Cricetulus griseus: one gene and its partners. The protein of the gene in region 1 interacts with the protein of each later gene in a pairwise test. Links are inferred from orthologs where the notes say so. Each region holds a gene or a part of one and is shown on either strand. Other genes may lie near its edges. The genes, in order: Amotl2, Krt20, Mfap1, Rad51d, Brms1l and Thra.

What was found.
Region 2: the proteins of Amotl2 (region 1) and Krt20 interact in binary tests that used the Homo sapiens proteins (3 or more experiments, as listed by UniProt). The two-hybrid records come from large-scale screens. The link is inferred for Cricetulus griseus from reciprocal best matches to the Homo sapiens genes AMOTL2 and KRT20.
Region 3: the proteins of Amotl2 (region 1) and Mfap1 interact in binary tests that used the Homo sapiens proteins (3 or more experiments, as listed by UniProt). The two-hybrid records come from large-scale screens. The link is inferred for Cricetulus griseus from reciprocal best matches to the Homo sapiens genes AMOTL2 and MFAP1.
Region 4: the proteins of Amotl2 (region 1) and Rad51d interact in binary tests that used the Homo sapiens proteins (3 or more experiments, as listed by UniProt). The two-hybrid records come from large-scale screens. The link is inferred for Cricetulus griseus from reciprocal best matches to the Homo sapiens genes AMOTL2 and RAD51D.
Region 5: the proteins of Amotl2 (region 1) and Brms1l interact in binary tests that used the Homo sapiens proteins (3 or more experiments, as listed by UniProt). The two-hybrid records come from large-scale screens. The link is inferred for Cricetulus griseus from reciprocal best matches to the Homo sapiens genes AMOTL2 and BRMS1L.
Region 6: the proteins of Amotl2 (region 1) and Thra interact in binary tests that used the Homo sapiens proteins (3 or more experiments, as listed by UniProt). The two-hybrid records come from large-scale screens. The link is inferred for Cricetulus griseus from reciprocal best matches to the Homo sapiens genes AMOTL2 and THRA.

Annotation. Positions count from the first base shown.
Region 1 is NC_048597.1:210,958,158-210,962,377, reverse strand, and holds the start of Amotl2 (angiomotin-like protein 2), read right to left. Parts: upstream 2,801-4,220; 5' UTR 2,794-2,800; coding exon 2,643-2,793; intron 2,373-2,642; exon of another isoform or gene 2,186-2,372; intron 1,758-2,185; exon of another isoform or gene 1,444-1,757; intron 957-1,443; exon of another isoform or gene 224-956; intron 1-223. UniProt on the Homo sapiens protein: Regulates the translocation of phosphorylated SRC to peripheral cell-matrix adhesion sites. Required for proper architecture of actin filaments.
Region 2 is NC_048600.1:113,147,868-113,151,823, forward strand, and holds the start of Krt20 (keratin, type I cytoskeletal 20), read left to right. Parts: upstream 1-1,156; coding exon 1,157-1,567; intron 1,568-3,815; coding exon 3,816-3,898; intron 3,899-3,956. UniProt on the Homo sapiens protein: Plays a significant role in maintaining keratin filament organization in intestinal epithelia. When phosphorylated, plays a role in the secretion of mucin in the small intestine.
Region 3 is NC_048599.1:56,948,267-56,951,766, reverse strand, and holds part of Mfap1 (microfibrillar-associated protein 1), read right to left. Parts: intron 2,947-3,500; coding exon 2,838-2,946; intron 2,748-2,837; coding exon 2,587-2,747; intron 318-2,586; coding exon 158-317; intron 1-157. UniProt on the Homo sapiens protein: Involved in pre-mRNA splicing as a component of the spliceosome.
Region 4 is NC_048600.1:96,308,849-96,312,843, forward strand, and holds the start of Rad51d (DNA repair protein RAD51 homolog 4), read right to left. Parts: upstream 2,801-3,995; 5' UTR 2,611-2,800; coding exon 2,529-2,610; intron 2,213-2,528; coding exon 2,151-2,212; intron 1,975-2,150; coding exon 1,856-1,974; intron 1-1,855. UniProt on the Homo sapiens protein: Involved in the homologous recombination repair (HRR) pathway of double-stranded DNA breaks arising during DNA replication or induced by DNA-damaging agents. Bind to single-stranded DNA (ssDNA) and has DNA-dependent ATPase activity.
Region 5 is NC_048598.1:146,525,975-146,529,474, forward strand, and holds part of Brms1l (breast cancer metastasis-suppressor 1-like protein), read right to left. Parts: intron 2,829-3,500; coding exon 2,745-2,828; intron 2,331-2,744; coding exon 2,266-2,330; intron 1,197-2,265; coding exon 1,157-1,196; intron 1-1,156. UniProt on the Homo sapiens protein: Involved in the histone deacetylase (HDAC1)-dependent transcriptional repression activity. When overexpressed in lung cancer cell line that lacks p53/TP53 expression, inhibits cell growth.
Region 6 is NC_048600.1:111,846,855-111,850,354, reverse strand, and holds part of Thra (thyroid hormone receptor alpha), read right to left. Parts: intron 2,690-3,500; coding exon 2,543-2,689; intron 2,089-2,542; coding exon 1,830-2,088; intron 1,260-1,829; coding exon 1,132-1,259; intron 1-1,131.

The DNA of each region.
Region 1 (4,220 bases):
CTGATTCTCAGTTTGTCCCAAAACAAAACAAAACAAAACAAAAACCAAAAAACAGTGTATTCTTAATCACCACTAACTGAGGGAAAATACAGTGTGCCTCTTGGAGAAGTCAAGCACTTGGTGAGCTACCAATCCTTGACAAATGCTTATCATTGTAATGACATTTATGGAGACTTAACTGATCCTACAGAAATACAACAGAAGGGTTGTAGAGATGGCTCACCAGTTAAGAGGGAACTGACTGCTCTTCCAGAGGACCTGGGTTCAATTCCTAGTCCACATGGCAGCTCTAACAACTGTAACTCCAAGACCTGATACCTTCACACGGACATGTACGCACATGCAAAACACCGATGCCGTAAAATAAAAATAAAAAAAGTATATATTTAAAAAGAAAGACAACAGAAAACCAGAAAGTTATCCAATAGGGACCATGGTCCCCTGCAGTCAACCACTACACCAAGCAGTCTCATGAATGACTCTAGGACAAGCCTCCATCCAATTCAACCACTTAACAGTCCAGACCCCAGTTTACTAGCAGATGGTAAAGAATGAATGTAGCCTGGTAGAAAGGAGCCCTAAGCAAATGACCCCCATGACTCTTCAGAATGAAGATGCTTGAGCCACAGGTAGTCAGTCCACCACCCTCCATGGGGTTCTCTTCCTGGAAGCAGACAGTCCCTGAGAGACAGACTAAGCTTCTTCAAAGGCTGCCTATAAAATGAATCCCAGTTTCTTTGTCATAGATGACCTTAGCAATCATTCTGCAAGGTGAGCAGCAGGAGAAGCTGCGTGTGACCTGGCAAATGCGGCTAAAGAGAGAAAGGACAATGGTTTTTGGGAGGAGGCAGAGGGGTGCGCTTGCAGTAACTGGAGCCAGCGACACAGCCCTGCTACTTAGAAAAGCCTCTACTTGTATGTACCCTAGGCACATAGGGGACGGTCCCCCTGCATCTCTGTTGACATTAGAAACAACCACCTGAGCCAACTGATGGGGTAATGGGGTAAGGGAAAAGACGAAGGGGAGGGCGGGGGAAACGTGCCCCGCCCCGGTTTGGGAATGGTATGTTGGCAGAGTTGGGGGAAGGAAGTGAGTCTTGTGGACATCTATGCACGCAACCCATTCACTCTTCGTAGCATCTAATTCTCTCTCCACTGCACCCTACAATGTGTAAGACTTGAGTCTGCTCGCCCGTAGCTTTTTCTTCGCGGCATTTCCTAAGTTAATCACTGGGCTGACTCCCGCTAAGGAGGATCCGGGAGCGGCTAGAAGGAATGCAGAGCCTTCGCGACAGATTCCAGGCGCGCCAACTATGAGCCAGGCTCCGGGAGCAAGGAACATTTCCGAAGCGTTTTACCGCACACGGCTCCCAATCTAATCCCCTAGATGCACAATCTTTCAAATACCTAGAGTTGAGCCATTACTAAAACCAGCTTCCTTACCCGGGCGTTGCACCTGGGCTGCTCTGGAGCTCTGCACTCTGAAAGCAGCCTTCTTAAGCAAACACGCGTTTCTGGCCCTGGCCTGGGCTCCCTCTCGACCTGAGGCGGGCCACTAGCACCGATGGCTGCCTGAGTGCTCCCGACAAGCATAACCCGCAACCGCGACAGAGGTCTTTAAGCATCGCGGGTCCTCCTCTCTCCCTAGACCTCTTTGTTTTCCAAATACTCCAGCGCTGACGTCACCGGGCTGGACAGCAGGCTGCATTCTTTCTAAGTGAGAGCCAGTTCGTGGCTCCGGAGAGGATTTTCCAAGGAAGACAAAGAGGAATTCTTGAGCTAGCTGAGGGTAAAAGCCACCTGTATCCCCAATCTAGACAAAGCAGCCACTGGGACCCTGCATTAGGCAAGATATGCCTACAGCCGTTTTCCACTTGCCCCAATCGCGAGACTCACATCCCCAAACACCGAACCTCTGTCCCTCCTCCAGCCCCAGTGGGTCGGAGAGTCGTGTCCTCTCACCCCCCCTCAAAAAAGCGCACACCGTAGGGCTCCCCGGGCTAGACAGACACCTAGGATCGATCGTCGAAAGGGTGCACCGCCTCCCCTTCCCGTTCCCAGAGAGGGTCGTCCACCCCAGCTCCGGTTCCCAGAAAAGGCCGGGCTGATGGCGGAGTCGGGGTGCCGCTGGGGAGCGTCCCCGCTGGCCTCGCGCGCTGCCCGGAGAGCCGGACACCTTTCTTACCGCTGCGGCCCGCGGCTGCCGGCGCGCGCAGACCGGATTCGGCTTAGGTACGTTCGGCAGTGAAGGTGCGCACTCGCCGGTGGCGCCGACGTTCTGGCTGCTAGCGCCCCAGTGCGCAGCCCCTGGGTCAGCCCGCGCTGGAGGCGGCTGCTATGCCAGGAATGTGAGAGTTTCAGGTTCCCCCTCGGGATCAAAGCGAACCACAAATAACCTCTCAGCGCGCCGCCCTCCTCCGCCCTCCGCCTCCTCCCGCTCCCCGTCCGGGCCCCACGCCTTCTTCCCGGGAGGCGGCGCTGCGGCTGGCCGCTGGGCTGGCCTCAGCCTTGTCCCCTCGCCACCCTGGGCTCTGGCGGCCGTGCTGCGTTCCCTGCCCCCTGCCTTACTGTCCTAGCTGTTGGAGGTGTCTTAACCAACTCGGCCCAAGACCTCCCCACCACTGTCCGCTCCCGGTTCTCACCGGTCATCTCTACAAGCACCGAGGAACGACTTCCAGGGATATGCCTCGCACGCCCCTCTGGTGGCTGCGGGAGGGAGTCTCTCTGGCGTTTTGGAGATGGCGGGAGGACTGCAAAGCAGTCCACATCCGCCCAGCTTTGACCGTGCTGCATACGAACAGATGCTTCGGCTTGCAGCTGCCCAGCCTCTTCTCTAACCCCTACTATTTCACCCCCCAGCGGCAAACTTTGAATTGCACTTTTATTGTTTACAAACACCTTCTCCAGCTCTTTTAGATCCTGCCTCTACAGGAAGTGTGAATCTGGGTTGAAAATGTGGAGTTGACCCACTACCCAAATGAATCACTCTCAACTGGGCACTAGGTCCAACTCCTCCCCAACTCCACTCAGCTTTAAGCCGAGTACACGACGGGCCACCACGCGCATTTCATTCGGCCATCAGATTCCAGTCACTCTCTGACAGCGTTCTTTCATCGTCTTTGTAATAAATAGGAAACCAAAGCTCAGAGTTTAAGCAGTTTACCTAGGGTCACACAGAGAGTAGCTGATAAGCCAGGTCTCTTTTCGTGATCACCGGAATCCCGGCTCCCTAAGTCTCTGCTTTCACCCACCTGTCCCCAATTCCAATATCTTTTCCACTTCTCCTACACCCAGCCAGCCCTCTTTCCTGTCCGCTTCGCTACCTTCTGCTGTTCTGCGTGGAATGCCCCCACCCGCACCCCGTCTTTTTGGGTCCTCCTTCTACCTTTCCAGGAGACCCCTCGTTAAGCAAGGCTGTTCTAACTCCCTCCTCCTCCCTCCAGTAAGAGCTCCCAGTGGTGTTCATTCCTCGGGGCTGATTTCCGCGGCTGGCTAGCTGGGTCCTCCTGTCTGTCTTTCCCTCAGCACAGTTAGGACAAGGGGCAAGAAACCTTTCAAGTCCAATAGGCAGGGATGTGGCAAGTTTTCTATAAAGCTTCTCTTTAAAAGCGTGTGTGTGTGTCAGGGTGGGTCCTAACTGGTTAACAGCCCGTGGTTTTGTGGAGGATCTATGCCTTCAGTTCCTAGCACCCACCTGGTGGTTCACAACCATCTTTAACTCCAGTTCCAGAAGGTCTGACACCCACTTCTGAACCACGCTGGTACCAGGCACCAACATGGTGCTCATACGTACATGCAATCAAAACATTCATACATACAAAATTAAACGAAAATCAAAAAGCCCTAAAATATGTATATGTTTTGCTTGAAATTCAAACATTGCATTTCAGATTCTGATTGTGTCTGAGCCAAATGAGAAAACCACAAATGTGCCCAGCTAAAGGACACTATATAAAGAGAAGCTGTGGCCGGAACATCATACACATTATTGTCCCCACTAGCTGCACTAGGTAAGAGTCTTGTGGCAGAGGCAAAAGAGGAGGTTCCCAGGTGTCCTCACTTCATGGACAGCATTCTTGGAAACCCTTGGTGGAGACACTTATAGAGTAGGTACAGGCACACACGCTCTGAGTTACAAAATCGGGAGAAAGGCCATACGGCACAGTCTTATGGTTCACTGGTGCTTAGAGGGGCATCTAACAAGATGTTTGACAAGCAAG
Region 2 (3,956 bases), on another chromosome or scaffold:
GGGGCTCTCAAGGCTCCTGCCCTAGTCTAGGAGTTCCTGGAAGCTGAGAGTTGCTGGAAGTCAAGAAGAGAGTTGGATTTTCTTTGGAGGTGTGGCCACCTCCCACACCCCAGTACACCCATAAGTACACAGGCAGCACTAATTAGATTCATGAGTTATTTTTAAAAAGAGGGGAGAGCATAAGTTGGATGGGAAATGTGTTGGGGGCTTCTGGGGCAGTTGGAGAGCGAAGTCAGGGTAGATGTTATCAAGATACATTATATACATATATGAAATTTCCTAAAACTACTATTGAAAGTATTTTCAACTCCAAAATCAACACCTATACTCATTTACTTATTCACCACATTCAGTTCTCAAACTCCGTGTGTGTGTGTGTGTGTGTGTGTGTGTGTGTGTGTGTGTGTGTGTGTGTGTGTGTGTACTCACGTGCCCATGTAGCAGGCTGGTGTCAAACTTGCAGTAATCCTCCTGTCTCTGCTTCCCAATTGCTAGAATTACAGGTGTGCACCAGGACACCCAGCCTCATACAAGATATTTCAACAGACTAAAAATATAAGTTCTAAACAAGGATAAACTCAAAAGCAAATTTAAAAAAAAAAAGAGCATAAAACAGAGGTTCTGAAAAGCAGCTCGTCATTGGAACAAGCCTTTGTCTGTTCTCACCAGTATGACTTACCATTGTGTTCCCACAGCTGTCTTGTTCAAAGCCTGAATTATTCATATAGATTGTAAATATTCTTTATTTGTACACGGGGATGAAAAAAAAACCTGCCAGGGCAGGTGCAAGATCTGAAAGAACACCCCTTCCTCATTCTTTTTGATACTTGTGTTCATTAAAAAGAAATCACCACTCCCTCCTCCCCCCGCCCAGCGCGCGCGCGCACACACACACACACACACACACACACACACACACACACACTAGAAAAGCCTTAATAAAGTGTCTCTAGTGGTCATTTCTGGAATAGGATGAAACATATTGCTGTACAAAAGAGGGGGAGGTAGCAAAGTGGACTGTGTCATTCCTGAGGTGACAAGGCAGCAGAGGAGGAGTGTCTCTCCTGAACTCTATAAAAGGTCAGCTCTCCAGCACCAGAGACAGACAGGCTGTGCTCCAACTCCAGGCTACAGGTGCTGCCTCCCAGGATCCCAGATGGATTTCAGTCGTCGAAGTTTTCACAGAAGTCTGAGTTCCTCCTCACAAGGCCCAGCACTTAGCATGAGTAGCTCCATGTACAGGAAGGGGAGCGCCCAGCGCCTGGTGGCTGCACCCAGTGTCTATGGTGGGGCTGGAGGCCACGGCACTCGCATCTCTGTCTCCAAATCTGTAGTGAGCTATGCGAGTGATCTCTCCAGTGGAGGGGACCTGTTTGCTGGCAATGAGAAACTAACAATGCAGAACCTCAATGACCGCTTGGCAAGCTACCTAGAAAAAGTGCGGTCCCTGGAGCAATCCAACTCCAGACTTGAAGTCCAGATCAAGCAGTGGTATGAAACCAATGCGCCTAGCACCATCCGGGACTACAGTCCCTACTATGCACAAATCAAAGAGCTGCAAAATCAGGTAAGTCATGGACCTGTGTTTTCGACATTACTGTTTAGTAGTATACTAGATTAAGGGGGGGGGGGTTGTGAGTGTATGCTAGGCGAATTCAAACACGTGAAGCAAATTAGGTTGAACTTTATAGCTGAAAAATCTATTTTATCATGTGGCATTAGTGTAAACAGGATGCGTTTAACCCACCTAATTACATATAAAATGTGATGATCTTATCATCCAAAATTACAGCCTGTGTCTTTGTCGTGGCTTCCAATGTCAGGTCTTCATGGAGAATAATCTTATTTTTAAAAGAACTCCAAGGGTTTCTATGTGAGTTTCCCACTAGTCTTCACCAACTTTGAAGACTCAGATCAATTTAAAGAGATTTTTCTCTTTTCATCCATATAAATGTTACAATTCAAGTGTCATCCTGCTATGGGTATAAATATTACAAGGGTTCAGAGTGCAGACAGACTACAGATATTATAGTGTCTGTATTGACTGACAGATGGGTAGATGATGGGTGGTAGGGTGGATGGAAGGAACAGCTTTTGAATACAAGATCTCCCTGTATATCCCAGGCTAGTCTGCACCTCACCGCTCTCCTGCCTCTACCTCCTCAGCACTGGGATTAGCCACCATGCTCAGTTTCGCTAAGTGGATTTTTTAATGTCCTGTTTAAGTTTCTGCTGACCATCATCAAGCATTTTATAAAGCACTTCAGCAATAATAAAATGTTCTATTGCCCCCAATTCAAATTTATTACAATCATATCACAATCTGTTCCTGTGTCATCCAAGATAGGTGGGGTTCTCTCTCTCTCTCTCTCTCTCTCTCTTTATAAACCCAGTGGACTAGAAGTGGGAGACTTTGCTCCGGGCTGACAAGGTCAAGCACAGCACACCATTTGCTTTGCTTCAGCATTCTTATCTAATCAAGGAAAGTGTCCCTTTCTGGTTTGCGTATATTTAAAATGATTACCCCTTTAGAGCAAAGGCCATTGACTTGGCCCGAAGGCCTCTTTGCTGGAGCTGTATTATAGGTACCAGTGCAGCCTGATTCAGATTCACAGAAACAATCAGCTCAGGAAGCTAAGGTGGTTACATCACCCTCAACAGGGAGTTCCTTCAGGCTTTCGCTGAAACACATTCAAAATGATTGTTCTCCAGCACTGCTCTCAAGGTTGATGCTTCTGAATTGACTCGGGGATTACCCATGATACCTCAGAGCAGCCATTAGTACCTTCTAGCTGGAAGCCTCTCAAGGGACCTCTCTCCAGGAATAGCTACTGAAAGAGATGTGTCATTTTCATGTCTTCTAGAAGTAGACTTCCCGTCTACATGCATCTTAAAGAATACAGTGCTTGTCTTTCAAGTACAAGAACCTGAGTTCGATCCCCAGAACCCAGGTTAAAAAAAAAATTGGAGAATGATGGTGTGTTCTTGTAATCCCAAGATCCCTGGGGTTTGCTGGTCAGCCAGCCTGACCTACTTGATGAGTTCCAGGACAATGAGAGACCCTGCCCCTCCCCCAAAAAATGTGGACAGTACCTAAGGAATAGCATGGAAGATTGTCCTCTGACCTACACATGTATATACCTGTACATATGAACACAGAGAGAGAGAGAGAGAGAGAGAGAGAGAGAGAGAGAGAGAGAAAACCAGGGTGTGTCCATCCTTCCATCCTAATGCCTAATGCCTACCAGATGGCAAGTTGTCATTCACTCACTGTTTCATAGACACTAGCTGGGTACTGAGCATCACACATAGAAGAATGTGTGGGTAAATAAAGTGTAAGGTGGAGACAGGCCTGGACCAAAGCAACTGTCACTCAGGTAAACGCAGGAAGGCTGTACAGAGCCACAGAAGCAGGGACACGGCCCTGCTAGAACTGGGGGATATCATTGAAGGCCCCCTTGAAGCCACGGTGTCTGAGCTGAGAGCTGAAGGCATAGGAGCTCCCCAGGTGAGGAGGGCTAACGGCAATATTCCAGGCATGAACATCACCACAGACAAGACACTCAATAAGGTTCAGGGATATGGATGAAGTCCAACTTCTGTTTTGTACAAAAACAAGAAAGTGGGTCAGACCAAGAGTCCTGTTTTTAACTATTACCTCAATACCTGTGTCACTATTGCACCTAATTACTCTCACACTTTTGAAACGGACATCGCTTTTGATGTAATTACAGTTGTCTCTGAGGACAAATGAGATCTTTTTTATCTCCAGCCCTGATGAAAATGTCATTCTTTCTCTCTCTTATGCTTTCCAGATTAAGGATGCTCAAATTCAAAATGCTCGGTGCGTCCTGCAAATTGACAATGCTAAACTGGCTGCAGAGGACTTCAGATTGAAGTAGGTTCCCTACATCACAGTGACTATAGGTGTGTGTGTGTGCAAGTGTGCGTGCGTG
Region 3 (3,500 bases), on another chromosome or scaffold:
GATTAAAGGTGTGCACCACTATGAAACAGCCTATTTTAAGTATCTTCATCGCTTCTTTTTAGTGTACAGATGGCAAGGTCATGTTACAATGTCAAAAGGTTCAACATGCCTGTAAATTATTCCCATTGCCCAGTTTTCTGACTCCCTTTTCACTTACCATGAAGAAGGCACCCCGGTGATAATACTTTTGTAAAAACTTGTATTTCCCCTTAACGGCTTTGTTGGTAATGACTTTGCCATTCGCCCGAAGTTCAGCTCGCCTTTCCTCCTCAGTCAGGTTTCGCATGCGTTCAATCTCTGCTTTCTCCTTTTCAAGCCTATTCAGAGAGCAAAAGTATTAGTATTTTCCAAATTCAAAAAGCCCAAATTTCTGAAGATAATGGTCTCATCTTCTTCAGCCATTATTCACCTTTTCACATTTCATTCATTCACTCATCCACAGCAGGTCTGCTTTATAGCTTGCCCGGAACTCTCAACTTCCGACCTCCTCTCCCAACTGCTAGTATTATATAGATAGGCTCATGCTGCTACACCTGACTACATCTTTAGTTCTGTTAACTGCTTGTCAGAAGTCAAGCTCGGGAGTCCAGTGAACAAAAACATGAGTTGGTCTTCATTATTGTGTTTACCAGAACAGGGCTATAAACATTCCAAAGTTGAATCTAGCCTTTCTGAGATTCAGACATATAATGTTTGATTTTACAACACTAATTCTGTCTTCCCTCAAATACTTTAGCTTTCAAAACAAAATTAAAATGAATAAAAAAATGGATAAGAGAGCTTATAATCTTTCATAAGCATAATGTAATCCATATATTACCTGCCACAAATTAAGGATTACCAATATTAAGTACAGTGGATTTAAACCTTATTTGGGGAGAAAGGGAGGTTATATTCTCTGTCTCAGACAAATATATGTATATATATATATATAATTTTAACATTAAAGTCTAATGCAAAGATTGGGGATGTGACTCAGTGGTATGGTGCTCACACAGTGTGCATGAAGCCTAATTCCTATCTCTAGCACTATAGAAACTGGGCATGAGGCCACATGCTTGTAACTAGCACTCAGAAGGCAAAGTCAGAGGAGCAGAAGCTGAAGGTCACCATTGGCTACATAGAACACTGTCTTAAAAACAAGAAAAATGTCCAAGAATAACTCAACTCCAGCTATAGGGAAGTGATGCCCACCCCCTGCTCTGGATTCCACAGGCACCTACACTCACACAGATACATATCCACACACATATACACATAATTTAAAAAATTTCAGGCTGGAGAGAAGGCTCAGCAGTTAAGAGCACCGACTGCTTTTCCAGAGGTCCTGAGTTCAATCCCCAGCAACCATGGTAGATCACAACCATCTGTGATGGGATCTGATACCTTCTTCTGGCGTGCATTAAGAGCATTCATGACTGGGCGTTGGTGGCGCACGCCTTTAATCCCAGCACTCAGGAGGCAGAAGCAGGCGGATCTTTGTGAGTTCGAGGCCAGCCTGGTCTCCAGAGAGAGAGTGCCAGGATAGGCCCCAAAGCTACACAGAGAAACCCTGTCTTGAAAAACCAAAAAAAAAAAAAAAAAAATCTCAGCTGGGCAGTGGTGGCGCATGCCTTTAATCCCAGCACTTGGGAGGCAGAGGCAGGTGGATCTCTGTGAGTTCCAGGCTGGCCTGGTCTACATAGTGAGTTCCAGGACAGCCAAGGGCCCTGTCTCAAAGGAAAAAAAAAAAAGCTCAGTATAAGAACATTAGGGGGTGGCTGGAGAGATGGCTCAGGGGTTAAGAGCACTGACTGTTCTTCCAGAGGTTCTGAGTTCAATTCCCAGCAACTACATGGTGGCTCACAACCATTTGTAATGTGATCTAGTGCCCTCTTATGGCATGTACTGTATACATGATAAATAAATACTCAAAAAAAAAAAAAAAAAAAAAAAGAACATTAGAGGGGCTGGAGACATGACTCAGTGGTTAAAAGCACTGATTGCTCTTCCAGAGGACCCAGGTTCAATTCTCAGCACCCACATGGCAGCTTACAAATGTCTGTAACTATAGGTCTATGGGACCCAACACCCTTATACAGACAAAACGCCAATGCACATAAAAATAAATAAATAAATATTAAAAAAAAAGAACATCAGAAACTAAAAAATAAAGACAGTTATGTAGTGGTGGCTTTACTTTGTGAGTTAGCAGTTCAGAAATGAACTTGCTTTTCAAGGTACTTGCTGCTCTACACTCTTAGATGTAGAATCTGCTCCTCTATCCCTTTCTCCCAGGCTGCCCTTGGCTCCATCTGAATAATAAAAAAATAGCACAGAAGTGACATTTGACTCCTGGAACTTAAAACTCAGGAGATCTTGCTAGTTTTCCATTATGCCTGGAGCTGCAGTGTGAGCATCTAGCCTGAAAGGCAGCATCAGTTGTCAGACATGCCAGAGAAGGGCTTCTGATGTTCTGGCCCAGTCAGTCCTCCAGCTGGAGGCATTGTACAGGTGAGCCCACTGAGACTATGAGAGGAACTGCTTGGTCAATCTCCACAGATAAACCAGTGCCATTCAATCCATCAATGGCTTCCCACTACTCACGCTTCTCGGTCTTCTCTGTCCCTCTTGATTCTTTTGAGCTCTCTGACTTTCCAGGCCTCGTATTCCTCCTCATCATTTTCATCATCTGTATTGAGCGCATCCAGTGCAGCAAGAGACCGCTTGTTCTCCTCCAGCTCTTTCTTGGTCTCTTCTTCTACAATCTGGAAAAGGACAATTCAGCTACTGGACTCCATCTCTCTATAACCTCATCACACAGACCCTTGCACTCAATCCATGGCCACTCCCAGCACCTTTAGTGTGTACTTGCGCCGCTCCTCAGCCATACGTTTTGCTTCCTGCTCCAGTTCCTTTTGTTTCAATGCTTCAGCTTCTCGTTCTTGAACTGTCACTCGGTCCTTCCTGCATCACAGAGGTCCTGTTAATTGCCCAAAGTCCTTAGAGTGGAACTGTGTCCCTCTAGATCTAGTCCTGTTCGAATCAGACAAAGCCCAAACCAGGAAGCATCTCAGCTCTATTTCTTCCCCCACTATCACCTTTGTGTGTGTGACATATGTTATATTCCTGGTCTTTAAAGACTTCCCTTAAATTTAAAAAAATTTCATTTTTATTCACTTTTTGAGACAGTGTCTTCCTATATAGCCCTGACCAGCCTGGAATTCCCCATGTAAACCAGAGAGGCCTAGAACTCACAGATCTGCGTGCAGGCATTAAAGGCATGGCACGGATGCCCAGGAACTGGAGTTACAGATGGCTATTAGTTGCCATGTGGGTGTTGGAAATTGAACCTGGGTGCTCTGGGAGACAGCTAGTGATCTTAACTGCCGAGCCATCTTTCTAAGCACCTTGTCTGTTGACAAGACTTTTATGGAGTGCTGCTTAGCCTCAAACTCATGGCAAGCCTCCCAGAATGTTAGGATTAGAAACAATTTACCACAATGCCTAGCTAGGTAAGT
Region 4 (3,995 bases), on another chromosome or scaffold:
TGACCTCCAGTGCCCAATCTATCTACCATCTAACCTAGTAGCTGCAGGATCTTATGCCGGTGCCTGAACCTAAGTCCCTATTCCTTCATGTACACATACATAGATGATTTCAAGGGCAGTGAACTCACATTAGGGGTTATGAAGGACAAATGAAATGCATGCCATGAAATGCTGAGCACAGTGTCAGAGTCAAGGTGAGCACTCAGGGCCAGCTCTGCCTATGCCAAGGCTACCTGTCCCACCCTGAGCCCCCACCCCCACCCATGAATACTGCAGCTGCAATCCTGCCAGTGTACCTTCTCACTGTTCCTTCTGTGGATGCTGGTTTTATAAGTTCCCTGGGCTCCAAAGCCAATGTGCCTCCTTGCCGCACCCACAAGTCTCCCATATACACTAACCACCATACTTAAGAGTGGGAGCCTTGCCTCACTCGTACAGATAGTATCTGCATGTGTCTGGCACCCAGTAGGCACTCAGCCAATGTTTGATGGATTACAAACACAGACCCCCCAAACAGTGGAAGCAAGCACCAGACTGTGCGGACCTTGCCAAGAGTGTGTTGTGGAAACAGCAAGGGCCAGACCAATCCAAAGACCTTTGTGATAGCAGTGTTATTCATCAAACTCCGCACAAACAGGCCAGAAGAGAGGTCAGGCTTACTTGGCCAGAAAATGCCAGCTGTCTTCCAATTCTTTCCCAACCCGAACAACAGGGCACAATATAACTGCTCTTTTCAGTGAGTGTACATGTTCCTGGCTGCTGCCTCCTACGGCAAAGGCATAAGGCTCTGGGTTATATTTCCCTGGGCTCACTTCTGCCGACCCCTCCTCTTAGGCTAACCACAAAGGAGGTCAACAATCTCTAACATCGGGGCTGGAGAGATGGCTCAGAGGTTAAGAGTACCAGCTGCTCTTCCAGAGGTCCTGAGTTCAATTCCCAGCAACCACATGGTGGCTCACAACCATCCGTTATGAGATCTGGTGCCCTCTTCTGGTGTGCAGATATACATGGAAGCAGAATATTGTATACATAATAAATAAAATCTTTGGAAAAAAAATCTCTAACATCTAGAGTCTATGGTAGTGGGTCCTGACCCTCCTGGGAAATTGAACAATCCTTTCACAGGGGTCACATATCAGATATTTACATTACAATTTGTAACAATGGCAAACTTATAGTTATGAAGTAGCAACAAAAATAATTCTATGGTTGGGGGTCTCCACAACATGAGGAACTGTATTAAAGGGTCACAGCATTAGGAAGGTTGAGAACCACTGCCCTAGGGTCAGACTTTAGGTGCAGACTCCCAGGAAATCTCAATCCTGTCCTGGTCTCACTTACCTTATCCTGAAGTATCAGAGACTCTACTGAAAACTGGGATATTAGGGGGGATGAGAGGGAGAACTGAGGTTGGAATGTAAAATGAAACTTAAAAAATAAATTATAAAAAATGGGGCATTAGTGACATCATGTGTTACAGGACAATGGCTCTTCAGTGGGAAATGATGTCTCCTAGGTGATACTGAGTCATATCTGGAGACATTTTTGATTGTTACAACTCAGGGCAGAAGAAATGACCTGGTATCTGATGGGTAGAGCCCAGGGTTACTGCTAAACGTCTCTCAATGCACAGGATACCCCTACCCTAGCAAATGATTACTTGCTCCCTAAGTCTCAATAGTGCTGAGGCTAAGAACCCCTGTCTTTATACTCTAAGGGGAAAAAAAAAAATCTCAGGAGTTCAGATGCCTCTAGGTTCCCTGACATATCCAGACTGCCCTCACCGGTCCTGCCCTTTGTAGTCTCCGCATGGGAAGCTCGGCTTTCAAGTTCTTGCCCAGGTAAACATACAAACCTTCCAATGCCTGTGGACAGGATGGCAGTGGAAGTCTTCAGTTCCTCATATAGGTCTGCTCCGTTTAATGGGAAAGCCGAGAACTGCGCCAGCAATACCCTCCTCAGGGCAACCAGGGCCTGCCAAAAGTACGGACACACAGTCTCCAGAGCACCCAGACTGCCAGTGACCAGCTTGTCCCGCAGAGCAATCTAGGTCTAGTGCCCCTTAGCAACTTCCGGGAACTCTGATTCTGCAGCATGGGGACCCGCTCTAGAAGAGACATTGGGATGGAGTTTGCACATGGTAAGCTCACCTTGTAGGACAAGCCACACTTCTGGGCTACCTCCTCCAGGTTAGCAGCTGCCAGGTCCGCCACTGGAAAGAGACCAAGAGCAACCTATTAACAACAGGAATGCTTTAGTTTTGCCACGCTTGCCTTTTCCTCTGTTGGGAAATGGCGTTAAGGTCTTAGTCTACTCCCCATCTCAAGCACGCAGGCCCTGATGCAGGACCCGGAGAGGAGCCCAGCACACAGTCGAGTCCTCTGTCTCCGTCTTGACTCCTGAGAACCCCATACTGAGGTCAAATTGTGGCCTCCGGTTAGATTGAAACGCCCCGCACGTGTGCCAACACCATGGCGCCGACCCCCGCGGTCGTGCCCATGTTATGTGTCACGAGCCCAGGAGGTCACCTGTCTTGATCCTTTGGCCCTTCAGAAGCTGGACGATCTCTTCGGTGAGGCCCGGGCACAGCCCCACCCTGAGCACGCCCATGTTTCCTGCAAACCCGGGGCGCCCCGGGGGCTGTCACATGGGCGCCCGCCGAGACCCCCCACTAGGTCCCACTTCTGGAAAGAGTCTCGGCACGCCAGCGCGGGAAGGGGGCGGGAAGAGGATGCAGATCGGGGTGAGGGACACCAGCCCTTCCAAACTCCAGAGCCCTGGACCCGCCCCCTCCCGGCGGACGCTTCCGGGTTCCGCAACTGGAGCGGCTTTTGTGGCCCAGGCCTGTAGCGCCATCTGCTGACCAAGCGGGCAAACGCGGCGGCCTTCAGGCTAGGGCCAACCACCTGCCAGTCTCAGCTACTCCCTCCCTCCCTCCCCCTCTTTCTGCCTCTCTCCTCTCTTTCTCTTTCCTCTCTTCTCTCTCCCTCTCTCTTCTCTGTCCTCTCTCTCCCTCTCCTCCCTCTCTCTATCTCCTCTCTCCTCCTCTCTCCCTCTCCTCTCCCCCTGCCCCCCCCCCCCGAGTCCCTTGTGTACTAGCCTCCATTCCCAACGCTAGGGACATTCACACCCTACTTACTGAGTGAAGCATACCCGCCTTCTAGTAGCATTCACGTTAGGGAAACAGACAATAAGGAGCAATCAGTTCACACCATTACAGATTGTATGATCCAGTGAAGTTCACACCTGCACCCCTGTATTTTCCAAAAAAAAAAAAAGTGTTTTAAGTTTTATCTTATGCATATAAATGTTTTGCCTGCATGGATGTCTGTGCACCCCTTACGTGACTGGTGCCTGAGGAGGCCAAAGAGGGGGGTCAGATTCCCTTGGACTTGTTACAGATGGGGGCTAGAGAAGTGGCTTAGCAGTTAGGAGCACTGGTTGTTCTAGAGGACCAGCGTTCATAACTCAGCATCTACTTCTCTAGCCCCATATTTTCTGAAGGTTTTTCTTTTCTGAGACATGATTTCTCTGTGCGTCTCTAGCTGTCTTGCTACTTACTGTATAGACCAGGCTGGCCACCTCCTGAGTGTTTTGAATGAGGATGTACACCATCACCACCAGGCATTTTCCAAAGATTTTAGTGGGAGTCAATGCTTGAGTATTTAGAACATGTGAAACACAGTTTACTATTTTGAAATGTTCTTTACCACATCCAGTGGGAGAAATAAAGCAGTGTCACAAACCTTTGAGTGAGGTTCTGTTTCTCTCTGTATTTTGTAGTTGAGTTGTGACTCAGGAAGACATTTATTCTCCGAGTTACGCAGCTAGCAAGCACAGAATTGAATCTCAAGCCCACATCCAACTGCAAAGCCAGTGTTTCTGAACTTGTTTTCTCCCCTCCCCGGAAGATGTGGGTTCGCTTTCTACCTTGTGCTCTCTCCATAGCAGAGAAGTCTGGCCCATTTTTAGAAATATTTCCCCATGTTCACCAT
Region 5 (3,500 bases), on another chromosome or scaffold:
AGAATTCTATTTAACAAGAAGTCTTACATCAATAAATTAAGTAGAGAACCATCAAGGATAAATCTCTAGCCTCTACATATACACACCCACATACCCACACACCCACACACCCACACCCACACACATGTGAACATACATACAAACACATCTCTCTCTCTCTCTCTCTCTCTCTCTCTCTCTCTCTCTCTCTCTCTCTCTCTCACTCACACACACACACACACACACACACACACACACACACACACACACACACACCAAGAAAAATCAAAGACCCAAAACTCATTCTAGAGATTCGGGCATCTGTCTCCTCCAGTCAAGAGTAGTATATAGATACAGCACTGCTGCAATTTACTGATATGAAATAAAGTTTAAAGTCATCATTAAAAAAATTGAAACTTTCTTAAAGATAAATACCTCTAAAGATGCTTTTAAAATGAAACAAGAATTCTTTTCCTTACTATTTCAAATATGCTTTTTTAAAAAGCTAATAACCCTTTAAAGCATTATAAAAATCTACCCAAAAAGAAGCAGAAATAGACACCAATGTTCATCACAACTTTGGCAGCTATCTTAAAGTTGAAAACAACAACAAAAGCATATATAATTCTAGCACTAGCACAAGCACTCAGGGGACAGAGGCAAACAAATCATAATTTCCAGGCCAGCCAAGGCTACTTAGCAAAGCCCTGTCTCAAAACACAACATGTAAATCTCAGTGGCAGATAAATCTCTCAGTACTCCACTGTCAGAATTCTAGTATCTGCTGATGGGAGGAAAAGCACTCCTAAGAAATTTAGTAGACAACTCCAGAGAATCTGAACTCCCTGGAACCAATTCATGAGTTCCAAACACTTCATTTAAAGAAGTAATGGGCCAATTTAAAAAAAAAAAAAAACCACTGGGGGTAAATGCATCTTGAATTACAGATCTAATATCAGTAAAAAAGATATGGCCTAACAATGTAAGAAGAAATACAGAGCATTGGAAACTTTCAAGCTTTTTCATGAAGCAGGAGACTCTCGAGCTCCTTGTAAGGTCGGTTACAGAGTTTGTTGATTCATGGAACCAGTGGTGTGCAGCTCCTCAAAACACAGGGCATTTAACCACTCGGATTCAACGGCTCTCCACAGAGAGGATGTCACAACTCATGACTTACGTTCGGTCTTAACACGGTGTGGACCCAGTGTAGCCATTGCCTTAGAAAAAAGAGAGAAAGAGGGGAGAAATCTGAGTTCAGACTACTGAAAATGCATTTTGCTCTCTATAATATATACAACATTCTTGATTGGTTCAGTAACAGAATAAAATGTAAACACTAGCAGCTCTCATTTTCTTGTGCTGGGGGAAGAACCCAAAGCATCATGCACACTAGGCAAGCACACTAGGCAAGCACGCTAGAACTGAGAGGCATGCCCAGCCTCCAGACTAATGGTCTCTAAGGTCACAGAGAATACCTAGTCGGTGTTGATAGCACTCGCCTTTAATCCCAGAACTCGGGAGGCAGAGGCAGGCGGATTTCTGTGAGTTCGAGGCCAGCCTGGTCTCCAGAGTGAGTGCCAGGATAGGCTCCAAAGCTATACAGAGAAAGCCTGTCTTGAAAAACCAAAATAATAATAATAATAATAAATAGGATGAAAAAACAGAGAATACCTTCTCCCATATTTATTAACAGCCGAAATGTTTCTCTGGATAATTTATAAAAACTGAAATTTTTAATAAGGAAAGCAAGCCTCAAGCCAGGTCTGGTGGCACAGGCTTATAATCCAGATCCCAAGAAGGCCAAGGCAGAAGGCTCACAAGTTCAAAGACTATGGGGGCTACAAAGTGAACTCTAGGACAGTCTGAGCAAAATAAAAAGTAAAAACAGTAATAGAAATAAGTAAAAAGATGGCAATATACATAGTTCTATTCTTAAACAAGCATCAGAGTCCATTCATGCCTTGATAGTTATTAATAGAATATAAGACACTCAAAGTTTAATGTATTCATTCAACAAATATCTACGGAGTGCCTCCTATAGGGCAAAGACAGACAAAGCTCTAAACCCAAATACTCTAGGATAAACTAAACATATGTAATTCCATATTATTTTATAAATTACTAATTACTTTATTTCAGGAAAAATACAAATCACAAACTTGTCTCTAATTCTTAAAATATTCTATGGCCTACTACAAAGCAGAGTATATTTACAATGATTATATTCTCATATATTGATGAACAAACTCTTAAAAGGTAAACTCTTGCAACATTCATTAATCATACCTTCCTAATTGTTGTCCAGTCCTCAAGAATATCAAGATCCTGCAGCATATAAACTATATATGGGCGTTGAGAGGTCAAGGTCAACTCAGCAGTGAGAATACCACACACTTCAGAGCCCAATATGGTGCACACTCTGTGAACAGATGCAAGAGGACTATGGGCTCAAGGCCAGCCTGGGATACATATAAGATTTTTGTCTCAAAAACAACAAAAAGCACCCATAAAAACCAATCACACTGTATTATTATAAACAGCTGTTCCCCCTCAGTCCTGTGGACAGGACACTGACAATTTTCAAAGCTGAGGTGATGACTGGAGTTTCTATTCTCCCCTGCCCTCTAAGGCAACAGTCTATCTCTGGCTTCAGTCATTTTGTAAGTCTTCACATGCTTGTTCTGGGACAGTCCAAGTAAAATCAGTGTGTGCTGAAGTAACGGAGACAGACTGTGTGGAAGCGCAGCAACTGTGGGAAAGGATATCTGAAACGACAACTGGCTTCTTTTTGTCGGGGCTGAAAGGATCCTTCCTCTTTTTTCTTGACTGAAGCTCATCATTCCACAGCTCTGCAAGCAAATCAAAGTGTGAGCTGATTCCAGTGGCCACAGGAAGAAAGAGCAGTACATAATTTCATGTTTACTGCTTACATACATACAAAACTGTACAAAACTCCAAGGAAGCTACACAGAGGTAGGTTTTTTTTTTCTTTTTTACATTATTTACTTATTCATCAGGTGTGGTGTGTATGTATGCACACTTGAACACCACAGCACACATGTGAAGGCAACTGGTGAGAGTAGGCTCTCTTCCCGCCACATGGGTGCTGGGGATCAAATTCAGGTTGCCAGCCTTGGGGACAAGCACCTTTACCACTGAGCCGCCTCACCAGCCCTGAAGTACCTATTCTTTTTACTTCACTTTTCCAGACAAGGACATCAATTAAGAAAAACTAAGCAACTGTCCACAGACACCCAACTCACAAGCAAGGGAACACCCGCACTGATCTCATCAAATCTGCCCCAAGTATAGCAGAAAAGCAAAATGCAAACCACAAAAACAAAACATACTCAAGAACTGTGGGCCAACCTGGTAAAACATTTATCAGTGCACAATAGAAAACTTCCCTATCCTCACCCTGAAATGGCCACATTTCATACTGCCCTGGTCTTTCCTTTCTCCAAGGCAAATAAGCTGGCCTGGAAGAACACAGGGCTGTCTTCCAGTACAGTCACAGTAGT
Region 6 (3,500 bases), on another chromosome or scaffold:
GCCAAGGTGTAGGAGGAGGGAGACAGGAGGCCCCTGGGGCTGGGCACTTGAAAGGGGAGCTGTGTGGGCAACAGGGCAGGCTGGTGAGGGGCCAGCTGGCATCCAGCGTGAGAGGTAGATGGCACTCAGCGGGCACGAGTGGCAGACAGCAGAGGAAGTACTGGGGTGCGGTGCCAAAGGGGCACAGGGTGGGGGCAAGGCAAGGGGGCGCCAGGACCCTGTTCTGTCATCTCACAGCTCGAATCAGCAGCCCTACCCTTGTAGGTCTGCTGGGGGCATTTCTCTCTGGGGTCAGAAGGGCAGCTCTCAAAGTGCATGGGGGTGGGAAGGGAGGGGGTCCTTCCCCTTGGGCCAGCCTCAGCTAATAACTTAATATCATCTCTCTCTCTCTCTCTCTCTCTAACATTCTCTTTTTTGTCTTTTTTTTTTTTTTTTTGTCTTTTCTGTCTAGTTTTTCTTCATTTATATTCTCCCCTCGCTTGGTTTCCAAAGTGCAGTAAGGATGACTACCATTTTAGCCTCCAGGGGAGGAGCCAAGCCAAACTGTCCTTTGTACCCAGGACCCAGGTATTTGGGGAAGTAGAGACCTGTGGCCTGAAGGGAATCTAGGCCAAGAAACTTGGCAGGGCTCTCCTGTGTATATAGGGGTGAGTGAGGGCATCTGCCCCTATTCCTCATTCCTCCTGACCCTACAATCAGGATGGCTTGTCCCTCTTATTTCTTCCTCCCTTCCCCTATTTTCTTAGAGGTTAGGGTCCCAGAAACTCTAGGACTTAGGCCCCAGCCTCCCACACTGTCTTTCATAGCAAGTTCATTTGTTGCCCTGTCCAAGGGCTGGAGGAGGTTCTGAGGGGGACTGGGCAGTGCAGGGGTATATGGGAGCTGCATCTATCCAAGGATGGGAGGAAGGAGAGAAGAGGTGGGGGGTTCTCCCTCAGCCCCCAGCTCTGTCCCTTCTCTCCAGGCTCCTCCCCACCAGCTCCGCACACCCTCTGGCCGCCTGAGGCTTTAGACTTCCTGATCCTCAAAGACCTCGAGGAAGAGTGGGGGAAAGAGTTCGGTGGGGCACTCGACTTTCATGTGGAGGAAGCGGCTGGCGTGGCAGGCCCCGATCATGCGGAGGTCAGTCACCTTCATCAGCAGCTTGGGCCAGAAGTGTGGAATGTTGTGTTTGCGGTGGTTGACGTAGTGCTCGAACGCCAGCAGGTACGCCTCCTGACTCTTCTCAATCTTGTCCACACACAGCAGGCCGGAGCGGTCTGCAGGGAGGGAAAGCAGGAGGCATGAATACCGAGGGTCTGAGAGAAATGCAGAAGAAACATTCAGGAGGGCATGAAGGGACTCTGAGGCAGAGACGCCAGGAGAGATCAAGGCTGGGCAGTGGTGGCGCACGCCTTTAATCCCAGCGCTCGCTCGGGAGGCCGAGGCAAGCAGATTTCTGAGTTAGAGGCCAACCTGGTAGGAATAGGTGACCGGGACTCAGGAAGGCCCCTAAGAACCTGAGGAAGCGATCCATGAGGCGGGTGGAGAAACAGAGATGGCATTGAGAAGAGAGGAAAACTGGAGGCAGAGGGGGAACAGAGGCAGAGAGAAGGTTGGAGATCAAAAGCAATAAATAGTCTGGAGACCAAACACGAGGACAAAAAAAATAATTAAAATATAGGACTAGGGGGCAGAGGAGGGACTGATAAACAGAGAGGGAGCCGGGGAGTGAAGAGATGAGACAGTGCCTATGCAAGATCAATAAAGGGGAAAGCAAGAACCCTTAGGTGTAAATAAACTCTAGAGCTCCTGAGAGCTTCTGGGACCTCTCAGCCATGGCAAGATACCTGTTGACATTAGCAGCACAGCTTGCAGCAGAGCCACTTCCGTGTCATCCAGGTTAAAGGCAGAGAGTGACTTGCCCAGTTCAAAGATGGCGTCAGAGACTACACCCAGGCCGCCATTCTTGAGCTGTTCGCGCTTAACCGCCATCTCCCCACTCAGCGTCAGGGTATCGCTCTCAGGGTCATAGCGGACAGCTGCCCGCAGGGACATGATCTCCATGCAGCACCCTTTCAGGAGGATGATCTGGTCTTCGCAAGGCAGCTGTGGAACAACAGGAGCACAGGCCACTCAGTACATCCTCTCCATGCCCCACAACCTCCCCACCCTCTTTGCTGGGCCATGGCCACTTATGCACTTAAACCCCACAGTTAGGCCCAAGAGTGAGGTCCCATCATTCTTCCAGTCCTCTTCAAAACACTGACGTACAGGGCATTTAGGTAAGTTGGCCAAGGTCCCACAGCTAGTACAACAGTCTATTTCCAGTTAGTGCTGTGCAGAATGAAGAAATGAGTCATGCTGCCTGGAGGTAAAATGGTCACTCAAGGAGTGTGTGTGTGTGTGTGTGTGTGTGTGTGTGTGTGTGTGTGTGTATACACAAGCTACGAGAATCACCCCCTGTCCAGAAAATATCTGAGGAATACCCAGTGAGGCTGTGTGACCTCAGAAATGATCCTAGGTTCCCTCTAGCAAGTCTCTCCTTCCATTTGCCACTCACCTCGGAGAACATGGGCAGTTTTTTGGCAAAGTCCACCACACGGGTGATGGCCGGGGTGATGATCTTGGTAAACTCGCTGAAGGCCTCTAGGTCTACCTTGTCTCCATCTGGCATGGAGACAATGGGTGACTGGCCAATGTCATCCGGCTAGAGGGAGAGAGATGAGGGTCACTGGGGCTGTGGACCCCTTTCAACTGCTCACTGAGACTCCCTGCCCACCAGGGGGAGCTCCAAGGCAGCCTGGGGGAAAAAAATCCCAGCCATGACTGTGTTCCAAAAGGATAGCCCAGGGCGAGCATTTCAAATTTGCTAGTGCTGATAATAGTGAGAATAGTAGTCAATAAATCGTAATAAAACACAGCCATAACGACTGAAAACACGGCAGCAGACCATAGGCTGGCCACACTGTTTTACATAGCTCCTTTTAATCCTCATCACAAATCTTTATGGAAGACAGCACTTCATAGACAGAAGCCTAGCACAGTTAAATGGTATGACCAGAGTCACACAACCAGTCCTTAGTGTAATTTCCATCCCTTAGCATACTCAGGGAGCCTGGCCCCAGTGGTCCATCGCCTTCCGGCCCTCAACTTGGCAGTAAGTTCTGTGAGGGTTCAATAAAACGCCTGGAGCCCTGCAGGTGCCCCACAATACTGTTATGTTGACTCTGTCCTCAGTCCCTGTGGGTTAGCTCTACCTTGGAATTCAGGAAGATAAGGCCCAGTTCTCATGGAGCACCCCACTGGATGGAACAGACAGGCTCCAGAAAGCAAAGGTGTAGAAAACCAGAACTGGGGGCTGGAGAGATGGCTCAGTGGTTAAAAGGAGCCCGGTTCAATTCCCAGCACCCACATGGGAGCTCACAACTGTCAGTACCTCTTGTTTCAGGGGATCCAACACCCTCACACAGACAGACACGCAGGCAAAACACCAATGTGCAATACAAATAAATAAATTA